Linked DNA regions of Nothobranchius furzeri. The main gene of each other region encodes a partner of the protein of the gene in region 2 in a complex. Links are inferred from orthologs where the notes say so. Each region holds a gene or a part of one and is shown on either strand. Other genes may lie near its edges.

Region 1 (4,147 bases), on a different chromosome or scaffold from region 2:
AATAAAAGATGTGATTGAAGTCTTTATTGAATTTTATTTGTTTGTAATGGGAGTTTAAACTTTAGCATATTAATTTGAGCTGAACTGAGATTAAAACTTCAAAATCTTCTCTAACCTCTCCATTATGAAGTTAAAATTTATATCTCAGACTTGATACACCTTAATGACAAAATACAAGTCCTGATACTTTGGTTTTAATTCAACCCTGATAAAAAAAAAAATCGTTTATCCAGTAATATTTTTCTCCCACTGTTTCTGTTTGGCTTAGGGGTTTAGTCTGTTTTTCCCAGATAGTAAGTACATTTTATTTATATAACACCCATCACAGACAGTAATCACAAAGATAAAAAAAACAAGACAAATTAAAGATGATTCGAGTTAAAAATAAGGCTATTTATGTAGATGGTGGTTAATTCTGCTCCCGCTTGACCAACACGAGTGTCAAAATTTAAAAGCGTGGTTCCTGCTCAGCTGAACTTCCATCCAGTCTTATAATTTACTGATTTACTGGATGACTGTAATGTCTGATGGCCTGTAAAGCATCAGTCGTCTGCAAAAAGTTCATATGTTCAGTCACTTCCTGTCTGTTGCTGCTTCTTCTTCTCCACCAGCTCTTTCTGTTTCTCCCTCCTCTCCAGGACTTCCATCATCCTGGCATAGTTGCGTTCTCGCTCCTGGGCCTTGAGCTCAACCACGTCTTCAAGGAACCTGTGTCTGCATAAACGACAAGCAAATATGTTTACGATTTGCTGCTAACTCATAGTATTTAATATTTTTGCTTCAGTCTCCAATGACAGTTTCACCGTCACACCGGTGTTACAGTGAAATGTGTTGTGCGTGTGTTTCTTTTACGCAGTTAGCAAAGCTCAGTTTCACCTGTTAATGAAAATAGTGGCGAGTCCAACCAGCAGAGTTCCGAACAAAATGGGTTTGGCGAGGCGCTTTCTCGCGGACAGCCGGTGGTGATTCATTGTTGCTGTTTTACTTAAATAAACAAAGCGACATAGCGTTTTTGTTAAGCTGACCTCCCGCAACGTGCGTTATGTGCTGTTGTACGAGCACATAAACACAAACACACCTTCTGCTCCTTAACTTCCGCTCAGCTGCCGGTGTTGTATCAATCTCTGTACACCATTTAAAATGTGTTTCCTCATCGGCTCGCGTAGCTCTCGCGTATTTCATTGCACAATTGTGACAGCAATGCTAGCATTTATAACGTTATAGGCGAGTTTATAGCAACGATGTTACGATTTCGTGTAGCTAAAAATGCGTTACTCTTTAAATCATGCGAAAGTGAACGGGGAACACATCTTCACGGACAAACAAGTTTTGATAAAACAGCGGAACAAATATCTACTTGCGCAGTTTTTCCGAACACTTATGAGCCGCGGACCCATACGTGAAATGAAAACAACCTCTGAATCAGCTATGAACGGTCAAGTAACTTAAACATCAGCATAATCTGATATCTGTGTGAATTTTATTTGAAGTGTTAAATGTGTTTTTGCTAAAAGATGAAGAGAAATGAGTCAGCTGAAGCGCCTGAACGGTTTGAATATTTACAGACGCTGGTTACTGAATTTCAGGACACTGACAGTGAAGGTAGGAATAACCTTTGATCTGTGTTCTACAAAGTTAAAATAAAAACCGTTTTAAAACGAACACGTAGACTCTCAACACCCTCAGTTTAGATGCATGCTATTATTTATTAGTGATGGGAATGGCTCAGCTCACCAGAAAGAGCCGGCTCTTTCGGCTCCCAAATGGCTCCTCAGATTTTCTGTTTCGTAGAGTACATTTATAACCAAAATAATGCAAAACTATATGTAAAATTATTTACTAATGTAAAAAAAAATGCAATATATCAAATATTTATAATTTCTATGGATTTAATAACTGAACACTTTAAGAAATTGTCACTTTCCGACTGCTGGCGCTCATTTTCTCACCGTCTTCATCACACTCTCCTCTCTATCTCGCTCACCTTTTTCCTCCTCATTCCCTCTCGTCTACCTCCACCTGCATGTGCTCTGCTGTGTGTCTGAGTCTGATTCTCCCTCTTCCCCGTCCCTACTGCTCTGTGTGTGGACAGTCTGGTCACACAGTTACACATGTTGACCAATCGCCTGTAGCGTTCACCAAAGCAAGAGGGGAGGGGGGAGGGGAGGGGACGGCTCCCAATGATGAGCCGGCTCCCGTTGTTCACTTCAAAGAGCCGACTCTTAGAGCCGGTTCGTTCGGACTGACACATCACTATTATTTATATCGTTAGAGGGCTTTTTCAGAAGCCGTTGTTCAGTCGAAAACTGTACTCTCCATCAGTATATTTATTTGAAGTGAGAGAAAAAAAATCGTCAAAAGAACATTTGTATATATGTTAGACCAGTTTTTATCCATTGCAATAGGAGAAAGGCTGACTATCAGCATTAGAATTGTGTTCAGAAGACAAAAAGATCACAAATACATGCAAATGACTTCATGAAGTTAAAATTTTTCGAAAAAGAATCTGTAAACATGACTAAATCAGGTAGAAGTGAACAAATACATCAAATAAGCTGTAATTCTAAGCAGCGTTTTAAGTTTTATTCTGAAAGTGTATCGTTGTGACATGAAATAAATGTAAGCTTAGTATTTGGAAACCAAAAAGTGACGTTATTTAACCAAATTCTGATTGTTCATTCTACATGTTAGTTCACTTTGAGATTACTGCCATAAGTAAACATTTTCTGTTGGATTTTACCGCAGAAAGCTGCTTGTTTTTATTTTTAAAAAAACGGTGTTAAAAATAAGTAGCCAGATAATGTGATGAATTAAATAATGCGCTAGTTCCACATCCATCCATCCAGTTGTAAATATCTACACTGGCTGCCATTAAACTATAGAAACGATTACTAAGTGCTACTGCTAGTTTATAAATGAGGCCAAAATACATGTTGGATCTCCTTCCTGTATATATACACCCAGCAGGGCTCTGAGATCCTTAGGAAACAGTCAGCTGGTAGAACCTCGGGTCAGAACCAAACAGGGTGAAGCTGCTTTTAGCTACTATGCTGCTCACAGATGGAATCAGCTTCTTTATGACCTGAAATGTGCCCCAACTCTAGTAACTTTTAAGTCAAAATGGAAGACTTTCATGCATTCATCAGCCTTTGAAGGATTATTTCTCATGCTGTACCTTCTGCGCTCAGTCTTTAACTTTGTCTTTTATTTTATTTCTTACATTTAATTTTATTAGAGTATTTAAAATTTGAATTTAAAAGCTGCTGTTTTACGTCGTCACGTTGATTTTAATCTTTTATGATCATGCTGGTCATGCACCTGGAAAGTACATTGAATAGCTTCAGTGTATGAAATGTGCTACACAAATAAAGCTGCCTCGCCTTTCTAGTTTACAGACAAATCTTATTTTTATACTGTCAGCTCCACATTTGAGCCTGAAGGGTGTTTTGATGTGAAAGTAAAAAGCGCCCCCTGTGGTATAAATGTGTACTGTTTCTGTGCTGCAGCCTCTGTTTATCATTGTTTGTAATGAGCTGGTGTAAGGTGAATTAGTGGATGTAGGTATCTCTGTTTGTTTCATTACTTTTTCTCTTTATCAGAGGCAAAGGAGCAGGTTCTGGCAAATCTAGCCAACTTTGCATATGACCCAAAGAACATGGAGTACCTGAGGGAGCTGCAGGTTCCTGACCTGTTCCTGGACATGTTGACCGAAGAGAATGAGAACTTTGTGGAGTTTGGGATGGGTGAGCATCTCTCCAACTAAAACAGTAAATCATGTTTGTTTATGTAAAAATCATCTAAACTCAAATATTGTGTTGACAGGGGGTCTGTGTAACCTCAGTATGGACCCTGGATGCAGAGACATCATCTTGGAGAACGATGGGATCAGCTTGATCACAAACCACCTGTCAAACCGGAGGGAGGAGACGGTGCTGTCTGCCGTCACCACCCTGATGAACCTCACCACACCAGCGACCTGCTCTCAGATCACAGAGCCAGGGATCGTTCAGTGCATGCTGCGCTTCTCACTCGCAGAGAGCCCCCGTCTGCGCAACCTGGCCTCGGTCTTCCTGCAGGACTGCTGCAGCCAGGAGCAGGTGAGACAGGCTGAGCTGCAGATGCAGGGGGTGCAGACGGCCATCGGGAT
Region 2 (4,244 bases):
TACTCAAATTAGAACCCAAACCTTTTATCTTTTTTCCATCTAGTGGCAAAATATTTTAGGGCAACCACTAAAATTAGAATTTATCATCAGAGATAATGAAGTATAAAAAGTTTGGGACAAACTTCTTCCTATTTTAGCCGTTGATGCTTCCCAGTGCTGCATCTGCTACTAAAATTATAATATATGGTATTAAATGAAAACGTTTTTTTTAAATAAAAAATATAAAGTTAGCTGTAGTCATCTAATATCTCCTATTTTTCTTTTTACAGATCCATTACTGCTTTAAAGGACTCACTTCACTCAGCTGGTTAATATTACTAATACTGGTATTTCATTTTTAAAGATTACAAGCTCTCAGCCTTCTACCAACCTTCCTTCCTGTAACCAGGCAGTCGAACAAAAGCTCCATATGTTTGCACTGAAACCACCTCTCCCTTGGCGATGCTGTACATCGGAGGCAGACCATCCAGCCCGGCTGGTTCTCGACTCGAGCGGTCACGGTTGGACATCGTCTCAATCTGGGCAAACAGTTGGAGGATTAAATATATTTCAATTCAATAACACAACACAGATAAAAGACGAAAGACGAGGAAAAGTTAAAGAAACCCAAAATAAAAGCAATATTGTTCCTTTTACAAAGTAACAGAATAAATTTAAGTATTTATATTGTGAATAAAAATTATTAAATAAAAATCCATAAAACTACTTTCTACGACAACTATTATGTTTTCACAAGTCAGGAGTAGGCAATAAATCAAGTTCAGTTGAAGTTATCCTTCAATTAAAATGTTTTTTCTTCGTTTTCATTAAGAATTAAGCTCAAATAACCCAGTTTAATAATATTAAAACTAGACTAAAAAGACCAGCCATGGTCTAAATTTTATTTAAACGGTAACTGCATATTTTCTAACACTCCATACATGTGAAACAGACTGAGAACCAAACACAAAAAAATAAATAAAAACAAAGAACACAGACAAAAATTGCAGCTGTCAGATTTAAAGAAACTAGGCTAATCTCAAAAACGAACAAATAGAATTATTAATATTGTAAATCAGTTTTAATTTTCAAAACATGGATTTATCTTACCTCAAACTTCACTTTCCATTACATTAATTCGAGCGGAGTAAAAACTATAGGAGACAATATCTCTGGAAACATGAACAGGATAAACGCAACACGAGCATTGGTGTTTACATAAAACCCTCTAACCTATTCCTGTTAAACTGCTCTATGATACATTAGTAAACCAGACAATTGTGCTATAATTAATATATTTTGCGTAATGTGACTCTAACTCTTAAGAAATAAAAATAATTGCAATACCTTTTCCACCGACTAAACTGTGCTAGTTATACTTCCAGGTCAAATTGACGCCAGGAAGAAAATCAGCCAATCACTGCAGCCTGCGCAAATTTCCACCAATCACGAGCTTTGAACCCGGAAGTACTTCAGTGTCTGTCTTCTTTGGTGGTTTTGTTTCCTCAGACGTCTTTCGTCGAAGACGTCCGTTAATTTTACTAAGTTTTAGCTTTGCATTTACTCTATTTAGCCGCTTTTTGTTAACTTTCCCCGCAATGATTGAACCTCTAAAGAGACCCGGAGACATGGCGATGGTTCCCACTGCGCTGAAGCGGCCACGGATGGAGCTAGTAGCGGCGGCTCAGTCTCAGCAGCTCGTGGCCACGGTAACGTAGCCCTGGTGACATCCGACTGCGTTTACATTCAAGATTAAATCATACTTACCACCTTTATAGTAGTTATGTTTTTAAGTTTGAGAAAAGGGCAAGCTATGCTAGCCGGGGACTTATGTATTCATTAACCGGACCATGTAAGCAGATTTAGTCACGTTTTCATGATTAATGTAAACATCAGAATAGTTGACAATAGAATTCAATATGCAAAAAAACTATTTTCAAGAGCGTGTTGGTTATTGTAATTATGTATTTTATTGGTAACAATATTTATTATTAAAACAGCCTTCCTTTTTAATATTTGATTCAAATAACAAAGCATATATAATAAATAAATAAACTGTCAAGATGATCAGAGTTCACTTGTGCATCAAAGGTAAAATATATATACACAGATATCACCTTTTATCATAATGCAAGCTTAAGGAAACACCAGATTGTAATTGCCACTGGTGCAATTAGGATCTACTTCCAGCTCCTACATGATTAAAGGGAGCATTTACTTCACTCTCTTTGCTAGATCTCAGCAAGTCATCCAGCTCGTATGCATTTAAAGTAAAGTACCACTTGTTGTTTCTGCACCATAATGCTGCAAACCTAAATCACTGATCCCCATAGGGCCATCCACGCACCTCCAGCATGCAGGCTCCCATCATGTTGATGTCTGGCCATGAGGGGGAGGTCTACTGCTGCAAGTTTCACCCCAATGGAGCTGTGTTGGCCTCTTCAGGATTCGACAGACTCATATGTAAGTTTGTGTCAAACAGTAGCAGACATATGTTTGTTAAAACCGCTTTAAAATCTCTGTTACCATGCTGCAGTGTTGTGGAACGTGTATGGAGACTGTGAGAATTACGCCACCCTGAAGGGTCACAGCGGAGCGGTGATGGAGCTGCATTATAACACAGATGGCAGGTAGAGACGGTGGAATATGATCAACTAATATCTGGTGGATTATTGCGGAACTTGAGTCAGAAGTGTGATACAGAGGTGTCTGTGTGGTTCAGCTTGTTGTTTTCAGCCAGCACGGACAAGACTGTTGGCGTGTGGGACAGCGAGACAGGTGAGAGGGTCAAACGTCTGAAGGGACACACCTCCTTTGTTAACACCTGCTATCCAGCTCGCCGAGGTCCTCAGCTGGTCTGTACAGGAAGCGACGACGGGACGATCAAGGTCAGGCTGTTTTCTGGGTGTTTTGCTGTGAAAATGAGGTCCAACACACACCGTTCACACACACCTACATTGTTGCACGTTTTGTTTAGCCTGATGTTTTTTGTTTTCTAGCTGTGGGACATCCGCAAAAAAGGAGCCATCCACACCTTTCAGAACACCTACCAGGTTCTGGCCGTGACGTTTAACGACACCAGTGATCAGATCCTGTCTGGAGGCATCGACAACGACATCAAGGTTAAAAAAACAGTTTTTCTTAAAGGGACTCATTAAACTGTTTATCTTGAAGAAAGTCAGACTAAACATTTTAATCCCTTTAACAACAGCAGATGGTTGCAGTGATGCTCTGTTTCAGCCATTTTAAAGTTGATTGACTGAAGATGTTCAGTGAGATTTATTGTCAGCCCTTGGTTGTTTACATTTTTGTTTGCTTCAACTCCAAACGCAAGTTTATTTTTTGTTGATTGTTGCAAAAATGTGAAATGTCGAAGGCAACAAATCGGCTCCAGCCTAAAATTCTCTCCTGGTCGTTGATCTGAAAGCTTTGTGTTGCTCAGGTGTGGGATCTGCGACAGAACAAGCTGATCTACAACATGCATGGACACGGGGACTCTGTAACCGGGCTCAGCCTGAGCTCCGAGGGGTCATACCTTCTGTCGAACTCCATGGACAACACTGGTATGCTCGGCTTCTGATCCTGCTCATCTGTGCTTGAATCGCATCCCTCAAAGAGTCTCGCGTGTCTTTGCAGTGCGAATTTGGGACGTGCGGCCGTTTGCACCCAAGGAGAGGTGCGTGAAGATTTTCCAGGGTAATGTTCACAACTTTGAAAAGGTAATCTTCACTAGCAGACAAATGAACAATTCACTTCTAGGTCAATCTGAGAAGTCGTACATATCTGGACTAAAGAAAACCGCTTTTTAGCTGTGAAAGCTCCGGGTCTGTGTTCTTCTCATGTCCTCTTTTCCTGTTTATTCAGAACTTGCTGAGGTGCTCCTGGTCCACTGATGGCAGTAAAGTAGCCGCAGGATCAGCCGATCGGTGAGAAACGCTTTGGTGACTTTTTAAACCCAAACGGAGTAAAGATAAGGCACTGAGAGCCACTTTTGTTCCCCGCTCTGTGCGTCTGCTACAGATTTGTGTACATCTGGGACACCACGTCTCGCAGGATCCTCTACAAGCTGCCGGGCCACGCCGGTTCTGTTAACGAGGTGGTGTTTCACCCAGAGGAGCCCATAGGTGAGCGACAGAACAGGAACCGGAACCAAACACAAGAAAAAGTCACTCATTTATTCTTTTCTGTGTCTTTGCAGTGCTGTCTGGCTCCAGTGATAAACGTCTGTACATGGGTGAAATCCAATAAGGTGTGTGTGTGTGTGT
Region 3 (4,142 bases), on a different chromosome or scaffold from region 2:
TATTTTGCAACAGAACACTGGTGGGAGAGGTGCTCAGCTCAATAATATCAGAGGAGGAACAGCTGGCTGCTACCACTTCAACTTTAGAACAAAATATGAAAGTCTCAAAAAGAAAAATGCCATTTGAAGTTGCTGACAACAAAAGATGTCTAGACTTATGGTGACTGACGGTTTAATTACTCTGGCAACGCAGGTGTCCATTTCCAGTAGAAGTATCTCGGGGAAGGTAAACAAGGGAAGAGGGTGCGTGTTTTGTGATGGTGTTTGCGCTCTAAACCTAGCTTGTACTGTAGATTCACTAAAGCAGCTTTAACTCATGGCCAACTTATCAATTTGTGAGTGTTCGAGAGCTCATCTATACTGAAAGGATCTCCTCTTAAAAGCCCAAAAGTAGTTAATTTTAGGTTTCATCATAGGGTTACTGATATTTCTTTTAAAGAATACTAACCAAATGTTTTATTTAATTAATTAAATCATCCCCCCCAAAAAATTAAAAAAAAAAACATCGTTCAGATAACCTGTGGAGATGATCAAATGAAAGAGGATGGGTTTCTCAAGTTTTCAGTCAATCAATCAATTGAATACTTTTTTTAAAAATCTCTGATTTTTGTTGGAATGTATTTCTTGCATTTGAAGTGGGTAAAAAGGCTGGTATTTTGTGCACACCAGCCAGACTTACCCCCTTTCTATTCTACACATTGGCATGGCTGTCCAGGCTAGAGATTCATATGAGCATCAGATCTCATGTACTCCAGATAGTATCAGTCTGCATCAGATAATTTCTGAGAAACTATCTGGTGTGGATGAGATATTATCTGGTGCCAATGTGATTTTGATTTAAAAAATGGAGCACACATATGGCTTGTGGTGGTGGCAGGGTCAGTGATCCAAATTCTTCAATTGTGTCTTCTACCAATCCACTTTTCTACATTAAAAAAATGGTCCAATGCTGTCATAGTCAGGTGACAAAACAGAAAATGGGAAATTACGTTAATGCTCGTTAAACACACGCGCGCGCGCGCGCATTTAAAAGAACCTTCTTGGAGCCTCTAAAACTAAGTCTATATTAAAATATTACAAGGAAATGTTGCGTCTTGGAATCGTGTTTTGAAGAAATTATGGGTGGTTTAAAACGTTTGCACAGTTTTATATGGGGTCTTGTACATAAGGTTTCAAGGAAAATTTACTAAAAATTAGGGTAGAGGGAAAACAGGTCACAGTTGGAGTTCAACTGTATTTTTATGCGCATCTTCGATGTGCATCTTCATCACGCACTGCCTTCGTCACATTCCTATCGAACACGGAACCGTAAGCATTATGTATGAGCACGGAAAAAAATGTAGGACATTTTATTTTGAAACTCTTCACCGGAAAAAGAACTTGGGTTCAGTTAGCTACTAGCCGCCGAGGAAGAAATAAATCAACAAATTAATCAGTAAATAGACTCATTAAAATGGCCGGGACAGCTTCAGTAGCGGGTGAAGTGTTTGTTGATGCTTTGCCGTATTTCGACCAAGGTTATGATGCGCCAGGTGTCAGAGAGGCGGTGAGTGAAATAAAAAATGTTTGCTATCAGAAGCGTGTTAGCCAACACGCTACATGGAAACTTTCATTAATCCTTAAAGTCGATGGCCTTTTAACTGTTAAATTAATATTACTTGTATAGACCAAACTAACGCGTTTATTTTTATATATAGCTGGTTAGTGTTTATTAGTGCGTAATAGACTGCTAGACGAAGAAACCAAAGAATCTCAACAAATGCACGAATTTTGTTAAAACAACATGAAACGAATATAAATTTTATATATTTGCATAATAGGTCGCAGAGACATTTTATGACATGTTTCCTTTCTTTAAATTTGGTTTATTTGGGTTCTAATGTGACTAATTATCCTTTGAGTTTGGCACGGGAAAAGATGCATAATTTGAGATTTTAACACCTAGAATCTTTCAGATTCAAACTGTGAACTTGTTGAATTGTATAGTTGATAATGCCACATTAAACCTTGTGAACAGTGATCAAATGGTTATCTGTATTTGCGTTTAGTAAATAAGGATGTAAACAACGTCATAGACAAGTACCATTTTAGGCATCTTTGGAGCTTTTATGTGGATGTTTTATAACTTCTTTTTGTACTTCTTGCTCCTTGTAAACCTAAAATCAGATTTAGTCTTCATATATTAGTTTATTTATGTATTTAATATTTGTCATCCTTTGTTATTACAAAATAGCGAATTAAGCTTGACAGGGCATTGCCGTAGAATAGTAATGAGAAAGTTGGTTTTAAAGCTGCAGAACCAAACATAAACCCTGTTTGATCCCTTAGGCAGCTGCATTGGTTGAGGAGGAGACAAGAAGGTACAGACCTACGAAGAACTACCTGAGCTACCTACCTACACCTGACTTCTCTGCTTTTGAGGTAAGAATCTAATTAGAAATGTGAGGTCTTCTTATGGACTTTCAGACTTTGACACAGAACTTACTGCACTTTGTTTTCACCCTTCCAGACAGAAATTATGAGAAACGAATTTGAGCGGTTAGCGGCACGTTCGCCTATGGATCTTTTGAGCATGAAAAGGTAAAAACTGCTCTGGTGGTAGTTGCCTTGCAAGATATATGTTTGCTTTGCAAATCATTTGCTCAGTATTTTAATAAATATGGACATTATGTTCTAATATCTTCCTGCCTGTGAAGATACGAGCTGCCAGCTCCAACTTCAGGACAGAAGAATGACATTACAGCGTGGCAAGAGTGTGTGAACAACTCCATGGCCCAGCTGGAGCACCAAGCAGTTCGCATTGAGAACCTGGAGCTCATGTCACAGTATGGAACAAATGCATGGAAAGTCTACAATGAGTGAGTTATGGCAGCTTTTATTTTTCAGAAATAGTACCATTGTTTTATTTGAAGACTGTTAATTATTTTTTTTGTTCTCCTTCCACAGTAATCTGGCTTTTCTGATTGAGATGGCTCAAAAGGAACTCCACAAATTCAGGTGAATTGCGATGCCTGGACATTGTTTGCTAATTTAAAGGGCTTTGAGAATTCATATTTAGAAGCTTAACAATTACTTTGGTTGACAGGAAGCAAATTCAAGATTTGAACTGGCAGCGTAAGAATGATCAGCTGGCAGCGGGGGCCAAACTACGCGAGCTGGAGTCTAAGTGTGTCTTCTGAACAACTTCCATGTCACTGTGTGGAGAGAACACGTTGTTTCCAGATGTCTTAACATCTGTGTTTTTGTTTGACAGTTGGGTGTCTCTGGTCAGTAAAAACTACGAGATCGAGAGAGCCATAGTCCAGCTGGAGAATGAAGTAGGTCAGCTCCGGCAACAGCAGGGAGACGAGAACAAGGAGAACATCTGTCAGGACTTCTGAAGAATCACGCAAACTCAAAACTAACGTTCCCTCAATCAGACACATTTTCTACAGATCTTTAAATCAACCACATGTTTAGGATTTTCCACTAAAAACATTGTTGGAATGTTTAAAATGAACTTTTATCAGAATCGTGTTTGCTCTAAGCAAAACTGTAGATTCCGATCTCATCTTATTTCAGGCTGAAAACGCAAACACACCTGTAATAGTTTTATTTTCTGTTTGCAGCGCTTTAGTGTTTGTTTTGTTTTGCAATTTTGTCATTTCAGACACAGCTGAGTTTTCAGTCCTAAGTTTTATGTTTGTGCTACTGATACCCTGGCAGTAGTTCCAATAGTTACTACACATAAGCCTCATAAATCTAGCTGTTTTTTAAGTTGCCTTTCAACAAAGTTTTTAGAATTGTAAATAATTTGTCAGATTTGAAGCCAAAATGAAAGGACTCCACATTAACTTACATTTATTATTTTCTAAAATGCTGTTTGTAACAAAATGAGCTTTTATAATAACTTCCATTGTCATCTGTCTTTGTTTTTTGTAACACGTTTATTTGATATTTTTAAGCTCAACTGGGTTTCTCAGTTTGACCAGAGAACAGACATGATCAGTTATCTTTGCCCTCGTTTGGAGATGAGGGCAATAGGGAATATTTGTTCCTTTGTTTACTCATTAGTGATGTAAAAAGTCCAGGACAACCCCTCTGATCATTTTAAGTAGACACTGAATATTGTAACTTTTGTAAGTAGTTACTTTTAATAAATT
Region 4 (3,996 bases), on a different chromosome or scaffold from region 2:
ATGTACCGACACCGGTGTCGGTACAGTATCTGCTCGGGTGCAAGATCGGCTCGGGGTCCTTCGACTCCCGATGACGTCAAAGTACGGCAAACCGACTCGGACAAAATGCACTACACATCTATACTGTTGGAAAGAATTTAGCACTTTCGTTATTAAAATAATGTTTCTTAAGACATAAGTTTGTGTTTATAATGGTATTTGTAAAATAAAACACTATTTCTTATATATCTTATTCATAATGTTGAACTCCTCTTTGAGCACATCCCTTGGCTTGAAGAATCATAGGTATTAGCAACACCTGTAAAATTGTATTTGCAGGAAAGAAGTGTGTCCCGTTTATTTAAGTATTTTGTGTTTAGAGTTGTTGACGTCTTGTCATAGACTGTAGCTGCTAGCCAAAACTCTGGAGTTAAAAGTTTTCTGGCTTTACTAAAAAACCTGTCTGTACTTATTTGATTGATGGTATTTTTACTTTCTATTAGACTCCAAATGTAATCATTTGGCACGTTTGTAATTCATAATTTGCAATAATGTAATCGGCGATATTAGCATTAGCATTCCTATGGGTTTTTCCATGTATATTAGCATTGCGCTAACCACTCGCTGCCAAATTGCAGCCTTTGAGATTAGAAAATCTCCTGGCTTTACTAAAATACCTGTCTGTACTTATTTGATTGATGGTATTTTTACTTTCTTTAAGACTCCAAATGTAATCATTTGGCACGTTTCTAATTCATAATTTGTAATAATGTAATCGGCGATATTAGCATTAGCATTCCTATGGGTTTTTCCATGTATATTAGCATTACGCTAACCACTCGCTGCCAAATTGAAGCCTTTGAGATTAGAAAATCTCCTTTTGTCACATCGCAATTTAATTGCACATGCAGTTAATCGTTCAGCCCTAATATACATGCAGCTCTATGCTAAAAGTGTATTTTCAAAGAGGTAATGATGGATTTCTTTGTAAAAGTTGTCCATCTTTCCAATGGAAAGATTTGCCTGGACCAACGTAACGTGATAACAACGTAACGTGATTGCGTATTTCCGTAAGGTTCATGTTCAGCCAATCAACTACTTAGACGTCATCGGCAGTCGACGGACCCCGAGCCGATCTTGCACCCGAGCAGATCCTGTACTGACACCGGCCCACTCGGCATTGACCTCGGAGAGTGAGGAGACCCATCCAATATGGCGGCAAAGCTCTCCATCGCACAATGGGGCGTCTACGTATTCATTTCTATGGTCTACGTAAGGAGCAGTCGCACGATCAGGAAGTGATGTAATGCCGCTGTGCGCATGCTCAGTTTATCCAAAAAGAAAAACTTAAACATGTCGCTTACTAGGTAAGTTCGTTGACAAGGCCTTGTCTGTTTATGCTATTTAAAGAGCTATTGACTGGGACTCATAATAACGTTTAGGAAAATTACATATTCAGGCTTTATCGCCGAAGTTCACGATTTAATTTTAATTGGTTTAATCGAAGCTAGCGGCAGTAGCCGAGGCTATCGTTTAGCTCGTCGGCTAAACATGTAGCATTAGCCATCTTGCAACACGCAGTCGTTGTCGCTGAGCAAGTTAGTTTTTCGGTCAATTTCATCTTAATTATGGCTTTCATTTGACCAAATTGTAATATTCAGTCATTTAAATTCATGATACTACTATTTATATTGAAGCCCTGGGCTAGACGAGCATTGATGTTTCCCCGTGTTCTTCCCCCTTCCTGCTTGCATCTGTTGTGTAAAACGATAAAATAAAATAAATTAAAAGGCTGAAATCAAACTGTGCAGAATTTAAATTTCGTCTTTGGTCTTTTCAGCCGGGGAAACGCATCCTGGTTAATGAATGAGATTGAAAGAATGTTCTGACTGTGCAAAGGAAAAATAAGGCGATTCACTTCTAAAATACTGACTTCTTCATGCTTCCTGGGAGAACTCTTCACGGGAGAGCTATTCTCATGTGCTAAAATGTGCACACACTTTATTTAAGCACTTGAATTGCTTTAAACTGCATGTGACATTTGTTGCAGGCTAGTAACAATTACTTTGAGATAAGTGGGGAAAAAAGATATTCATGATAATTATCTGTAAGGTGCAACAAAATGCTATGAATTCTTGTTGAAAGTGCTAGAATGGGATTTTTTATTATTATTTTATTTTAGAAAATCGCATAATACATGATTGCATGATGTGCCCAATCACCAATACCCTTCTGGGATTCTGTCATAGTGCTTAGATCAGTCCTGTTATAAATATCTTATGTATGTTTATTCTGTTTTTCTCTTCTTCCTAACAACTTTACTTGGTTCTTTTTCAAACACGGCAAGAGTTGTTATACCCTGTTTTTGCTGAAGTTTCGGCTAATGCTGTCTCCTTCCTCAGAGCGTGCTGCTGTTGTCGGCGTCAAATACTTCTCCGTTCATCCTGTTATAAATATTTACTCAGTCTTTGATATTTCACATGTTTATTGCTGAAGCTAATTCACATTCAGTATTATTTGACTTGTCTGACATGAATTGTCAAATTAAAAACACATTTTGACAACAAGGAAGAAACTTGCTTCTTTAAAGTAAAAGCAATTAATAAAAATATACAGCATAATAAAGATGATTTATAAATATTCCCCTTGCATGGTGGCAGTGGCATCAAGCATCACCAGCAATCAGACAAAGGATAGAACGATGTTTGGAGTGGCCCTGTCGAAAGTCCAAATTGTTATTATTGGCATTACTAGTATGTAGTCTCTCAGTATCACAATAAGATTACAGTACATCAAATGTGTCAGTGTTAACTTCTGGTAAAGCATAAACATGACCAAATCGGCTCCTGTGTCCAAATAGCTCAATTATTCCCCTTTGTGTTTATATTTATTGTCATTAGTGGCTAATACTAGTTCACTTAACACTTTTTAATTTGTTCTTCTTTGTTCATGAAGCTTTTTACCAGCGCCAACACAGCTGTCTCAGGACCAGCTGGAGGCAGAGGAGAGGCTATGCGCCCAAAAGGCTTACTCCACCGCTCTGGTTGCGTCCCGTAGAGAGCCCCCTCCTTATGGACACAGGAAAGGCTGGGTACCCCGCGCATTGGAGGTAGTTCCCACCATTAAGGCTTTAGAAATGGAACAGAGCTTTTGGCTTCATAGCCACACTAAAAAAAATCTTGGTGTGGTTTTAAAGTTGGGTGTATCTATTTTTCCAGGACTTTGGAGATGGGGGGGCATTCCCAGAAATCCATGTGGCTCAGTTTCCTCTGGAGATGGGCAGGGGGAAGAGAACGTCCAATGCCCTGGCTGTGCAAGTGGATGCTGAAGGAAAAATCAAATATGATGCCATCGCCAGACAAGGACAGGGAAAGGACAAGGTATGTTTGGTTATCATTGCCTTTTTTGATGTGTTTATTTGTAGTTAAGTGGATTCAGACAAATCCCATAAACCTGATAATGATTAAACTTTTCACAATTAAGTTGGCTTATGTCTTATTAGAAGTTTTTATTACATACCTGCAATCTTGTTGCTTTAGGGTGAAAATTGTCATTTTTGAAGCCAAACAGTAGAGATGCACTGAAAGGAAAATTCTTGGCTGAAACCAAGGCCAAAAACCACAACACTGAAATAAATGATGTCAATATTTAGAACCATAGCATGGGAAGGACTGTGCATTATGTAATATTGCATTTAATGAACCACGGCTGCAAATGTAATTCCTGGTGAAGTTATTACTTTACACCGGCAGATAGTGGAGATGTGTAACTGTAATCTGAGCAACACTTTTGGGTGTTTCTACTGATGTTTTCAGAGTTTATAGAGTTTAAACACTGCCCTTCGTACGGAGGTGAGGAGCGGAGCTCACAGAGGTCAAATCTATTAGATCTATTATTTTATGTTAGAGTGGAGAGACTTGCGATGCTGACAGGTCTGCTCATTGTTGACAAAGCTCTTTGTCTGATAATGGCTGACTCCGATTCTGGAGAGAAATATTCACCATCTGATGAAGAAAT

What was found. The genes of interacting proteins can lie anywhere in the genome.
Region 1: snrnp40 (region 2) and armc7 share a complex: the UniProt entries of both Homo sapiens proteins name them as parts of the minor spliceosome. The link is inferred for Nothobranchius furzeri from reciprocal best matches to the Homo sapiens genes SNRNP40 and ARMC7.
Region 3: snrnp40 (region 2) and bcas2 share a complex: the UniProt entries of both Homo sapiens proteins name them as parts of the postcatalytic spliceosome P complex. The link is inferred for Nothobranchius furzeri from reciprocal best matches to the Homo sapiens genes SNRNP40 and BCAS2.
Region 4: snrnp40 (region 2) and snw1 share a complex: the UniProt entries of both Homo sapiens proteins name them as parts of the minor spliceosome. The link is inferred for Nothobranchius furzeri from reciprocal best matches to the Homo sapiens genes SNRNP40 and SNW1.

What each region holds. Positions count from the first base shown.
Region 1 is NC_091756.1:50,515,091-50,519,237, forward strand, and holds the start of armc7 (armadillo repeat-containing protein 7), read left to right. Parts: upstream 1-1,347; 5' UTR 1,348-1,380; coding exon 1,381-1,440; intron 1,441-1,514; coding exon 1,515-1,602; intron 1,603-3,599; coding exon 3,600-3,743; intron 3,744-3,822; coding exon 3,823-4,147. UniProt on the Homo sapiens protein: As a component of the minor spliceosome, involved in the splicing of U12-type introns in pre-mRNAs.
Region 2 is NC_091759.1:20,973,024-20,977,267, forward strand, and holds the start of snrnp40 (U5 small nuclear ribonucleoprotein 40 kDa protein), read left to right. Parts: upstream 1-1,444; 5' UTR 1,445-1,577; coding exon 1,578-1,688; intron 1,689-2,312; coding exon 2,313-2,442; intron 2,443-2,515; coding exon 2,516-2,609; intron 2,610-2,701; coding exon 2,702-2,867; intron 2,868-2,978; coding exon 2,979-3,101; intron 3,102-3,421; coding exon 3,422-3,542; intron 3,543-3,615; coding exon 3,616-3,698; intron 3,699-3,843; coding exon 3,844-3,905; intron 3,906-3,999; coding exon 4,000-4,103; intron 4,104-4,177; coding exon 4,178-4,227; 3' UTR 4,228-4,244. Other genes in the region: zcchc17 (zinc finger CCHC domain-containing protein 17), read right to left, coding at 371-509. UniProt on the Homo sapiens protein: Required for pre-mRNA splicing as component of the activated spliceosome. Component of the U5 small nuclear ribonucleoprotein (snRNP) complex and the U4/U6-U5 tri-snRNP complex, building blocks of the spliceosome.
Region 3 is NC_091755.1:51,937,692-51,941,833, forward strand, and holds bcas2 (pre-mRNA-splicing factor SPF27), read left to right. Parts: upstream 1-1,342; 5' UTR 1,343-1,453; coding exon 1,454-1,546; intron 1,547-2,328; coding exon 2,329-2,421; intron 2,422-2,509; coding exon 2,510-2,580; intron 2,581-2,696; coding exon 2,697-2,858; intron 2,859-2,946; coding exon 2,947-2,997; intron 2,998-3,085; coding exon 3,086-3,166; intron 3,167-3,253; coding exon 3,254-3,380; 3' UTR 3,381-3,889; downstream 3,890-4,142. UniProt on the Homo sapiens protein: Required for pre-mRNA splicing as component of the activated spliceosome. Component of the PRP19-CDC5L complex that forms an integral part of the spliceosome and is required for activating pre-mRNA splicing.
Region 4 is NC_091742.1:20,646,544-20,650,539, forward strand, and holds the start of snw1 (SNW domain-containing protein 1), read left to right. Parts: upstream 1-1,196; 5' UTR 1,197-1,299; coding exon 1,300-1,346; intron 1,347-2,934; coding exon 2,935-3,088; intron 3,089-3,197; coding exon 3,198-3,359; intron 3,360-3,996. UniProt on the Homo sapiens protein: Involved in pre-mRNA splicing as component of the spliceosome. As a component of the minor spliceosome, involved in the splicing of U12-type introns in pre-mRNAs.